Arabidopsis thaliana: one gene and its partner. The protein of the gene in region 1 interacts with the protein of each later gene in a pairwise test. Each region holds a gene or a part of one and is shown on either strand. Other genes may lie near its edges.

The links. The genes of interacting proteins can lie anywhere in the genome.
Region 2: the proteins of OFP8 (region 1) and AT1G11510 interact in binary tests that used the Arabidopsis thaliana proteins (3 or more experiments, as listed by UniProt).

What each region holds. Positions count from the first base shown.
Region 1 is NC_003076.8:6,636,192-6,642,264, forward strand, and holds OFP8 (ovate family protein 8), read right to left. Parts: upstream 4,218-6,073; 5' UTR 4,107-4,217; coding exon 3,441-4,106; 3' UTR 3,264-3,440; downstream 1-3,263. Other genes in the region: AT5G19640 (Major facilitator superfamily protein), read left to right, coding at 269-316, 407-569, 653-1,460, 1,589-2,399; S1P (SITE-1 protease), read right to left, coding at 5,927-6,012. UniProt on the Arabidopsis thaliana protein: Transcriptional repressor that regulates multiple aspects of plant growth and development through the regulation of BEL1-LIKE (BLH) and KNOX TALE (KNAT) homeodomain transcription factors.
Region 2 is NC_003070.9:3,870,117-3,876,201, forward strand, and holds AT1G11510 (DNA-binding storekeeper protein-related transcriptional regulator), read right to left. Parts: upstream 2,814-6,085; 5' UTR 2,721-2,813; coding exon 1,662-2,720; 3' UTR 1,607-1,661; downstream 1-1,606. Other genes in the region: AT1G11500 (transmembrane protein, putative (DUF1218)), read left to right, coding at 702-815, 902-1,128, 1,226-1,454; AT1G11520 (pliceosome associated protein-like protein), read left to right, coding at 2,913-3,503; CXXS1 (C-terminal cysteine residue is changed to a serine 1), read left to right, coding at 4,402-4,479, 4,756-4,878, 5,040-5,195; AT1G11540 (Sulfite exporter TauE/SafE family protein), read right to left, coding at 5,360-5,668, 5,764-5,904, 6,000-6,085.

The DNA.
Region 1 (6,073 bases):
ACATGGAATTGTTTTAGAAATGAACAAATTTTTGCTTACCCCATATATTCATATCTACTTTTAAATTAGTACAATTTTTATTGATTTTCTACTACTTTTGTTAGTGATGAATTTGGAAATTGGCAGGCTTAAAACGCTTAAACATATAGAACAAGACTTCTTGCATCATATATGAATACTATATCAAGTTTAGTCGTTAATATATACACGTACGTGTACGTTCTTCACTAAAACCTAATTCAATCTAAAATTCGTACAGATCCCTAAAATGGCCGCTATGGATCCGAGAAATAATGGCAACGTTGCTCCGCTAAATGTATGTAAACAAACCTTTATGACTTTAACGAATATAAATAAGTAATAGTTTGTGGAAATTTAATTTGAATGAGACATTAATTATTGCAAGGAGCGGGAGAGAGCAGAAAATTTGGAAGTTCGTGAAGTGGTAGAGGTTCAAGATGATCAAAGTGTGGTGTCTCTTATGTCCAACGATTCTGACCTTCAGAAAAAGATGATGAAGAAAGAGGAGAAGAAGAATGGTGGCTGGACAAACGCAATCATTTTGCTAGGTATGATATATAATTAATACTAAAATTAAAGATTTTGTATATAAGTTCAAATAATCTTACATAATTCATCATTATCTGAACAGTAAATCAAGGGTTAGCTACATTGGCCTTCTTTGGTGTGGGAGTAAACTTGGTGTTGTTCCTAACACGTGTTATGGGACAAGGTAATGCAGAAGCTGCGAACAATGTAAGCAAGTGGACAGGAACAGTTTACATGTTCTCTCTCGTTGGGGCATTTCTTAGTGACTCCTATTGGGGTCGTTACTTGACTTGCACGATATTCCAAGTCATCTTCGTTATCGGTGTTGGCCTCCTCTCTTTTGTCTCTTGGTTTTTCTTGATTAAACCTCGAGGATGTGGCGATGGGGACCTTGAATGCAACCCTCCCTCTTCCCTCGGAGTTGCTATCTTTTATCTATCTGTATATTTGGTAGCTTTTGGATACGGAGGCCACCAGCCAACGCTGGCTACTTTCGGTGCAGACCAGCTTGATGATGATAAAAACTCCAAAGCTGCGTTTTTCAGCTACTTCTACTTTGCTCTCAACGTGGGAGCTCTCTTTTCAAACACAATCCTTGTTTATTTTGAGGATAAAGGGTTGTGGACTGAAGGTTTCTTGGTGTCACTAGGCTCCGCTATTGTCGCATTGGTGGCTTTTTTGGCCCCAACAAGACAATATCGTTATGTCAAGCCGTGTGGTAACCCGTTGCCTCGTGTGGCGCAAGTATTTGTGGCCACTGCTCGTAAGTGGAGTGTTGTTCGACCAGGAGATCCGCATGAGTTGTACGAACTTGAAGGTCCTGAATCCGCCATTAAAGGAAGTCGAAAGATATTTCATAGTACCAAATTTCTCTTCTTGGATAGAGCAGCAGTGATTACAGAGAATGATAGGTAAACCATATATAAACAACATTATATTATTCGTTTTCATTTTGTTATCATGCAAGTTTTATTCCAAATATATACTTCATATAGTTGTCATCTTTTAACTTATGAAATTTCGGTATGACTGTATCCAGGAATGGGACAAGGAGCAATGCATGGAGGTTGTGCAGTGTAACTCAAGTAGAGGAGGCAAAATGTGTGATGAAGTTGCTTCCAATATGGCTATGCACTATAATCTACTCAGTGATCTTCACACAAATGGCGTCATTGTTTGTGGAGCAAGGTGATGTGATGAATGCATACGTAGGGAAATTCCACATCCCCGCAGCGAGCATGTCGGTCTTCGACATATTCAGCGTCTTTGTATCAACAGGAATCTACCGCCACATCATATTTCCATACGTGAGACCCACGGAACTTATGCGGATGGGGATAGGGCTGATCATAGGGATAATGGCAATGGTAGCTGCAGGATTAACAGAGATCCAACGGCTGAAACGAGTAGTCCCGGGGCAAAAGGAGAGTGAGCTCACCATTTTATGGCAAATTCCACAGTACGTGCTTGTGGGAGCAAGTGAGGTGTTCATGTACGTTGGACAGTTAGAGTTCTTCAACGGACAAGCACCAGACGGGTTAAAGAACTTAGGAAGCTCGTTGTGTATGGCTTCGATGGCTTTAGGTAACTACGTGAGCAGTTTGATGGTTAATATTGTTATGGCCATAACCAAAAGAGGTGAGAATAGCCCCGGGTGGATACCGGAAAATCTCAACGAAGGTCATATGGATCGGTTTTATTTTCTGATTGCCGCGTTAGCAGCTATCGATTTTGTGGTTTATTTGATATTTGCAAAGTGGTACCAACCCATAAGTCATGATGAAGATAGTATCAAGGGCGGTTCTGGTGGTAGTCTGAAGAAGACCGTTTCTGAGTTGGAACAAGTTTGATTTTTTTTCTTTTTCTCTTTAGATTTTAAGTTTTAGCCGCAAGTCATCTTTTGAGATGTTTCTCTTTTATTGGTAGAACCGTAGAAGACGATCTTTTTGTTAGTTTCTAGAAATTTTCAATTGCTCGGTAGGGATACTTAAAGCAGAGCATAATAAGTAGGTAGTTGCTAAAAAATCTTCCGATTCCTTTGCGTTAGTAAAAAAGCTAGTCGTTTGAATAACATGTTTTGTTATCTTCAATAGTTTTATAAGATTAATAACAATGAAAATCTTGTGTCTATGAATGGCAATGTTAGCCAATATGATTAAAGCTAATGTGACATTTTTTTGTCAAGCTTTCAACTAAAAATTAAATACTGTACTATCTTGCACAGAAGTTATGTCGCAATAGAAGTTTTTTTAAAAAGACAAATAACTGTATTTTTCTATTTTGTTTTTAAAATTCATGCTCCTATAAATATGGCTCGTGGAAAAACTTGGATTTATTTTAAAAAAATAACCGTTGTTTCGTCACATTTTAGAGAAACTTGTTTTTCTTATTAATTTTGTTTTGTGAATGGACACATTTCACAATACTATTGGTAAAGGGACTTGTGATTTATAAGATACAGTATTGATTTCTTATATAAATATATATTTCTTTGTAATAAATTTAATTTTGATACTCATGATATATATCTATGAGAAAAAAATGATGTGTATTCAATCTATTTAAAAAGTTTGAATTTTCTTATCTATGTCTAGTTTATATATTGTTTTTTTTAATAAACTGTACACAACAATATATGCAGAAAATTCTTTAGGTCTTGATAAAGTGTTCAATGCTTTAAATGGTATGTCGCTGTCTGTTTTTAAGGCCTACCGTTTTCTTGTAAAGTAACTCAATTTGGTTCATGAAAATCAAAATACAGAGAAAGGCTAAGACAAAGATAATCTGAAAACAAAAGAATCTAGTCGAAAAAAAGAACCAACCACTAAAGCAAGATTCAAGACTCAAAATAGTACATTTTAGCAAAAGATGTTAAAAAGTAGATATAGAAATTAGGGAGAGAACAAGGTGGCATAAATTTCTAAGAACACTTGGACAATAACTTTGTGGTGTTGACGAGAGTTTAACGACAAAAAACACTGAAGAAGCTGTTGTAACTCAGCCGGTGCAAATATCTGTCTCTCAACAATCATCTCCACCATTGACGTCCTGAAATCTTCATATGGATCCTTTGACTTCTTCACCACCGCAAAACTCTCCGCCTTTGAAGAGTCCGAGGAGAAGCTTCTAGAAGAAAAGAGAGTATCAGAATCATCATCTTCACTTTCTTCTTTGTCTCCTTCGTCTTCTTCCTCACTACAAGACCAGTACCAAGACCCGGTTGACTTAAAACGTGAGGCAAAGAGAGGGTCAGAACCAAACTGCGATCTTTGCTTCCTGTTTGTCTTGACCTTCTTCCTTAAATCTCGAAATGAACGGCTCTCTTCGTAGAAAGGGTTTGGTGGGAATATAGGTGACGCACGAGGGCAAGAAGAAGCATGACTCTTTGGTCGTGATGGAGTTTTGGTTTTGGCTTTGGTAACGAAGAACCTCTCGGAAGACGTTGCTTTACTTGTAACAGCACAAGTCTCGACGACGTCGTATAGATCTCGTGGTCGGCAAGAGCTTAAAGATGACCGGACTATTCTTGAAACCCGGAGCTTCATTCTCTTCTCCATGTTTAGAGAATATCGAGAGAGACTAATGAAGATGGTGTATTAAAGTCGTGTGATATAAGACTTTTGAGGGAAGGAGAGATAAATTCTCTGTTGTGTTTTTTCTTGTACTAGCATTCATTTTTCGTAATATTTATGATAATTTAATGATTACAACTTTTTACGTTTAACTCTTTCTGCAATGTCTTTTGTCATTTCACTGTCGTCTTTATCTTAAACTATTCGAATTGCTGACACAAAAATTAACCATTGGAATTTCCTTGTTGCTTTTTTCTTTCTGTTTTTATTTTAGGTAGAGACGCTTGACCTTGCTTTGCTCGTTTTTCACTAATTTTAAAATATTTTAATTTTGAAAATTTGACATGAAACTGTTTTGTAATGTTTGTCATCTTGTAGACTAGTAAAAGTCAGTTTCTCTTTGATTTTTTTTATTTATATAACAGTCAGTTTCTTTAGCTTTTCGAATTCCTCATTATCAGGCAACTTAAAAAGTAGAGTTTGTTAAAACTTCTTCTACTTGGAAGATTTTATCATTGTTAACTTAAAGGATTTGCATTGTAGTACCAGAAGTAATTAAGTACTATAGTCAATCTTACGTTAACGTTACAAAGTTTTGGTGATACAATTCTGAATTCTTTTTTAACGATGCATAATTGAAACTTCTCCCCGGAATTCGTGCATCGGTTTTGGAGAATGAACGTTTTTTCAAAAAGGCAACTTAATTCAAAATTAAATGATTGAAAATGACAATTACACAGAAAGGTTGTGCACGATGATCACCAAAAGTCAGATTATATCTGCAAGTAAATAAAATAGATAACATTGACTTTCGTAACAAGAAAAAGGAGAGATTCATTTACCAATAAACAAAATTTTCCAAAACTTGCAAATAAGATTTACTTTTTGAAATCATCAATGGTAGTTTGATGAAACTGAAAACATTCCATCTATCCTAATGGACTTTTGTTTAATAAAATGAATATATATTGAAAATCTTGAAATATGATCATTAATCAAATTGCATGTTTAGTCGTCGCAAGGTAAAGTTTTAAAACTGCAATGTCTATAAAGATTAGGTATTGTTGTGTCCATCCGACTACTAACATTTTTCAAAACTAATTTTCATTAATGTAACCATCGAAGTCGAACACTGATGTATAAATCTTCTCCACAATCGTTTCTTTCAACATGTTGAAGAAATGAAAAAAAAAAAAAAAAAAACAAAGAATGAATTTTCTTCCTCTGCTCCAGTGGAGCAGCCCATGCATATAATCCCACTATGGGGATCGAACCCCAATGAAAACAGAGAACCTGGCCAAGTGGAGGACCACTATAGCCTATATAGTCAATTTAGCATGATTTATTAATTTTCAGCTGCTAGAGCAGACTTCCTAAATGCAAATTCCTAAGGACAATTGAAATATTTCTTATAAAGAAAAAAGGAGGAGGAATGATAGGTCTGATGTTTGGAAGTGTATATGCTTATTGGCTAATCTAATTTACCTTTTTTACGTTATTGTTAGGTTTTGGTGTGGTGGCAGGTTGGGGACCATATTATCTGCCTCTTCCTATTTGAATTTCAAAAAGTTTACACTAATTTGGGTATGCATGATACATTTCAAATAAAATTGTTTTTTTTAGTGGAGGCTAATGTTTTTAGAAATTAGTATTTCTTCCTACATATTTTAGCTCTTTGAATGATGATTTTAAAAATGATTTACCTAAAACAAAATTGCCAGTTTTCCAAGTAAAAGTGAGACTACATTCTGTGGTCAGTGTAAATGACAGTAGAAAAAAGACTGGACCCCAGACACGGCTATATGCTAGGCTAATCGATTCGACCCTGATGCTCTTCTCCGCCTACCCCTCTTCTGCCTGATTCTCCATATGCTTAGTAGCACTAGAACTCCTACAACACAACCCGAAAAAGTTTGATGACCTACTTTGGAAACAAGAATCATACTGATCAT
Region 2 (6,085 bases), on another chromosome or scaffold:
GATATTCTATGAAGATTTGGCTTTGATTCGGACACAGCTCTGTTTCTGTTTGTTCCTGCTTCACCATATCTACACAAACTGTTTCCAAAATGAGACTGAAGATTTCCATAAACGTATGATATCATGTCACACCATGAAAGAACAAACTAAAAAATCTTTTTTAGAAATAGAAAATTACAACTAAAATTTGACGTTTATGTTAAAAAAAAATGATCAAATCTTAACCCTGTATGATTCTTTTCCAATTACAACCTGGAAAATTATAATAATTTTTAGCATAATATGATTACAGAAAGAAAAAAAGATATGGGAATAATAATTTTCACCTCTCTTCACGTTCCAAAACAGAGTATAACGCCACATGCTGCCTCTATTGAGCTTTGACATTTTTAAAGTAAAAAAGTCAAACATGTGATCAACCTCTTAATTCAATATGAAATTATATCTTTGTAGTAGAATTATTTACTACTATATCCAGTTTACAAGAAAAGCATCCAAACTAATGTCATTATATAGAAAAGGAATGAAACTTTACTTACTTGGAAAGACCAAAACCGAATCTGTATTCTTTTGTCTTGCAGTGAGAGGCAAGCTTAGGAAAGTAATCTGATGCTGTTTCCTTATTATTTTCCTCTTCCTTAAACTTTCATAGAACAATTGAAATAAATACAGTAATCAAATAAAAATATAAGGTTTTTATTATGAATCAAGGAAAAATGGAAAGTGAACTTGGGTTCTTGGTTTCTGTTGTGATCATATGTGCAGACATTACAGCTACAGTCCTCGGGATCGAAGCCGAGATTGCTCAAAGCAAGGTTCTGTTTTATATTAAGAGTGAAATGTAGTTTATTTTATTTTAACTACCAATAATCTTTTCTTGTATTTGATGTTTATCCTTCAGGCACCTCATCATCATCATCAACAACATTCAAGACATTCAGGTTCTGGATGTCGAAGAAGCCCCAGCGATGGAGCATTTGCTGAGGGAGTAGCTGCAATGGTGCTTCTGTTTATTGTCCATGTCCTAGCTAATGTGCTTGGAGGCTGCACTTACATTCGCTCTAAGCAAGATTTCAAAAGAGCAACGGCGAACAAGATACTCGCTGTGGCTTTCCTTGTTCTCTCCTGGTAATGGAAAAGATAATAGGTTTTTGGATTTCATTCAAAAGACAAATTTGAATTATGTCAGCTGTTTTTGTTTTTGACATACCTTTGTTTGTCTTAGGATCTTTTTTGTTGTCAGCTACTCAACGCTAATGATAGGAACATTAGCCAACTCGAGAACGAATCGACTCTGCAGCTTGCCACATCGTTGGTTTTTTCTTATTGGAGGCATATTTTGTCTAGGACATGGAGTGGTGACTTCAGCATATTATGTTTCAGCAATTGCTGCTAAAAAAGAAGACAAAGAGAATGCGCAACAAGAAAATCTAGCAAATAGAAGCCGCGCATAACACGTCTTCTTCATCAAGATACACAAAATGTTTCATCTGTAAATAAACTTAAATTGCTTCAAAAAAGCTTCCTTCCATTTTGATAAATCCGCAATATTCCAAAATAAACTCTTTCAAGAATCAATAGAAAACTAAAATATAATATAAAAAAGCCAAGAGTTCTAAACAAAAGAGGCAGAACCAAAAAAACAAAAACCATAAATATATCTAAGCGTTTGATCCAAATGCTTCAGATATCTTTGATAGCACTTCAAAAAGAAAACCATGCTTCTGCAAAAAGAACTCAAATTCCCTAGCCTGCATCGCTTTCCACTGCTCGTAAAATCTCTTCATATCCTTTGAGGCAAGCTTACTCAATCCTTGTTGAGCAGTAAGTTCATCCATGCCAAGACCCACTATCGATCTAACAAGAGAAGACTTTGTAAAAGAGACTTCTCCTTCATCCATCACCTCATCTTCACAGTTGTTTTTACTGTTGGGCAAAGAAGAATCAAGTTCATGCTTCACAGACTCAAACTTACTACTCTTCTTCGACTTCTCATTAGATTTCATACCAGATGCAAGAGCCATTCTAATACCTCCCCAAACTAACTTAGACAATTCAAAAGCCTTGCGATCATGAGGTTTGACGAAAGTAGGTTCAACACCATCCTTGGCTTTACCAAGATTGTTCTCATACTTCTTCTTTAAAGCCCTAAGCTTTTCCATAAGCTGATTCTTACTAACATCAAAACTAATAGATTTTTTCACCAACTCATAAACCTTATTCGTATTACTTACCCCTGTATCTTTTTTGTCATCAATCAGACCTTGTAAAACCACAATCTCATCATCTTCAGTCCAAAGTCGCTGGAAATAAGTTTTCTTCGTCTCTTCTCCTCCGCCACCACTCTTCTTCTTCTCCTCTTCCCCTGAAACCTTCTTAGCCCTCTTCACATCCATAGACACTGCTGCTTCATCCACTTCAAGAGAACGTTTAGCCCCAGATTTCTCGGAGGTTTTCACCTTCTTAGCCCTCTTCACATCCACAGGATTCGTCACAACTTGATCTTTCTTCTTCTCGAGTTCAGAGTCTGAATCGGTTTCTTCATCCGAACCAGATTCGGAATCGGAAACGGCGTCGAGAGTCGTCTTCAAAGGTGATGGGTTTTCAGAGGAAACGTCATCTTCATCATCCGAAGAAGAGTTTCGTGCGATTTCTTTACCTTCTTCGTCGCTTGAAGAAGCACTCGGCGGATCTTCTAACGGATTGAAACGTCTCGACATTGTTTTAGGGTTTATGGGACTTTGGAGAGACTTAAGAGGTTGAAATTGAGATTTTTGCTTTGCTGCCTTCACCACTTCGTTCTTAGGGTTTATATATATTGAACAAAGTGTCTCTCTGTTTTCCAAAAATAAATAATCAAAAAATTATTGGAAAACGTATAAAATTATTTATTGTTTTTCCTCTTTTTTTGCATGACGTTTAGATTTCCGATTTCCTTCCTTAAAAATTTGGAAATTAGCTATATTGACCAATTTTATTTCCCTATATTTTATCTCTTACAAATAAATGTTAGATCTCTCTTTTCACAACAACACCCGAATATGACCGCTCATTCAATCGTCGCACACGTTGATAGCGTCCTTCCCAAGAAATCTCGTGAGATCGACCGTCGCCGCCGCAGACGGAAGCGGAAGAAGAAGAACAAAGCATCTCAGGCCGATGTAGATGCAATGGACGTGTCAAAATCTCTGTCAAGCACTCCTACTGGTATTGAGACACCGGATGCAATTGAACTTCGTAAGGAACAGAGAAAGGAACCTGATAGGGCTCTATACCAGGTACTTGAAGAAAAGGGAGAGAGTGTTGTTGCTCCTGGAACATTGCTGAGAACTACACACACATACGTTATTAAGACTGGTACTCAGGACAAGACGGGAACCAAAAGGGTTGATTTGCTGAGAGGGCAAAAGACAGATAGAGTGGATTTCAGTTTACAGCCAGAAGAGCTGGATGCTATGGGAAATGTTTTACAGTATGAGGAGGCAAGAGAAGAGGAGAAATAGCGCAATAAGCCAGTGGACTTGAGTGACATGGTCGTCGAGCATGTGTAGCAGAATAGTAGGAAGAGGAAAATGCATGGCAAGGAAGAGAAGAAAAAGAAAGATTTCAACTTCTGAGGTGCGTTATGGAAGAGACAAAAAAAAAAAGATTTTAGATTCTGGACATGAGACATAGAAAGAGATTCATGTTCCAGAATTATTAGTCTTGAGTAAGAGATCTTGAGTTTTTAGTCTTAATGCTTATTAAAAAAAAAAAAAAATGTTAGACCACCAATGATGTAAATTTTTAAATAGGTGATTGCATCATTGTGTAAACCTAATATTTACATTTTGAAGGATTTGGTCTTTCTGCAGTATGTAAGTTAATTCAATCCCCTTATTATTCTGACTTGTAAGGGGATTCAAACCCCATCAATGGTTTCTAAACTTAAGTTTCTTATTTTAGAGAGATAAGTTTTATTATAAAAAAATGTGTGGGTTTTTTGATTAATGAAGAAACCATCTCCAAAATACTTTATATAAGAAATTTTGGAGAGAATTTCTAAATATTTAAGAAACCCACATAATTAAATAATATTATTTTTGTTGTTTTAATGTTAAGAAACTTATATTTAGAAACCACCAATGAAATTCCTCTAAACATTAACATTGCATATAGTCATAAAAAAAATATCTATTTTCTTTTTGGTTCTCTTTTTAATATAGCTTTCTTGGTCAACACTTATTCTTAAATATCTTAGAAATTAATAAATTATTTCGTAACTCGTTGAAAGATAACTGGCCACACTTTTTGTGTATGACTCAGACATAGTTTTTGTCCACTCGGTCCCATCATGCAAGTAGATAAACACTGAATCACCAAATCTTGTTTGAGATTTAGAAAAAAAGGAAGCTCCAAGAGATGGCAAGAGTTGTTAAAATCGATTCTGCAGAGTCATGGAATTTCTATGTGAGTCAAGCCAAGAATCAGAATTGTCCCGTAAGTCTCTCTTCCTCTTATCACTTTCGTTTTCTAGTAGCCAAAATGAAATCTGATTTAGATCCAAGACCTATGAAAGAATCAAGATCTTAGGATTAGAGTTTTATGGAGAATTTGATTTACAATTGGTTAAATCCAAATTGTGTTACTCTTTAAGATATGAAGTTAGTGAGAATGAACCATGAATATTAATGTTCAGGATTGTGAATGAATGGCTCTGTCTTGTTTGTTTATATGAATTACCAAGAACGGTTGTTCCTTTATGGTTTTTTGCAGATTGTGGCTCATTTCACTGCATTATGGTGTATTCCTTCTGTGTTTATGAACTCCTTCTTCGAAGAGCTTGCGTTTAACTATAAGGATGCTCTGTTTCTAATAGTTGATGTTGATGAAGTTAAGGTAAAACTACTTATGTGTCTCTCTACTTGATATGTCTTTCTACTTTGGCTTCTTTGTTGAAGAGAAGTGTTTAACCATCAAGAGTAAAAGATTTAAACAGTTGCTAAATTGGTAGATGATTAATGGTTTTTCTTTGTTTTTTACTATGTTGGATTGGTCAGGAAGTGGCAAGTCAACTAGAGGTAAAGGCGATGCCAACTTTCTTGTTCTTGAAGGATGGTAATGCGATGGACAAACTCGTGGGCGCAAACCCTGATGAGATTAAGAAACGGGTCGATGGTTTCGTTCAGTCCTCACGTGTTGTTCATATTGCTTAAGAGAGATTTATAGATACGAGCAGAATACTAAATAAAGTTTGTGTGAAGTGTAATTAGTTTGTAACTTTGGTATTTGGTTTGTGTGAAATATCAAGTGTAAGTGTAAATTTTTATAAAAGCAAGTTCTGTTATAAACAAGAACTGGATTTATTTAATTTTGGTTCTTAACAGGGTAATTTGAAACCCATGTAGCGACCAGAGACAAAATCATTCCAAACATTAAAAGCTCCATGGGTTGTCATCAGTACAGTGCTAAGTGCCATGACGATACCAACTGCAAACACAATGATCGAAGCCCTCCCATACTTGGCTATAACCTTCTTAACCACCATTAGTCCAACCAGTGATGCCACGAAACAGACCAGAGCAAATATCGCAGCGGTTCCAGCATGTTCCATGCCTAGTAGTAGGTACTGGATTGCAGACATTGATGAAGAAAACAAAACCATGAACGAACATGTAGCTGCAGTTACCTGTAGAGAGAGCACGATTAACTTAAGAATCCAATTGCTTGTTTTGGTAAAACTTTGGTTCTGATGCTGCTAGAGAACAAGACTCAAGAACGTACCTCTGGAGCAATACCGATTTGGAGAAGAAGAGGACTAATGAGCATTCCACCACCAATACCAAAGAGGCCACCCAAAACTCCAGCCAAGAGAGCCATTACAGGGAGCATCAACTTGTTTTGTCTTCCTCCAACTCCAGTCTCCTGTGGAGTAATTTCAGTTTCATATTCATCAAACCTGTTGACTTTTGACCAACAGAAAAGCTAATTTAATCAACAGCAAGTAGTATGTATTGGACCTGTTCAGAGTTTTGGTTACTATGCGATGTGTGGTTGCTTTGAACATTGTCACTGAAGTAAATGCAGAGAGTAAAGAAGATAGTGA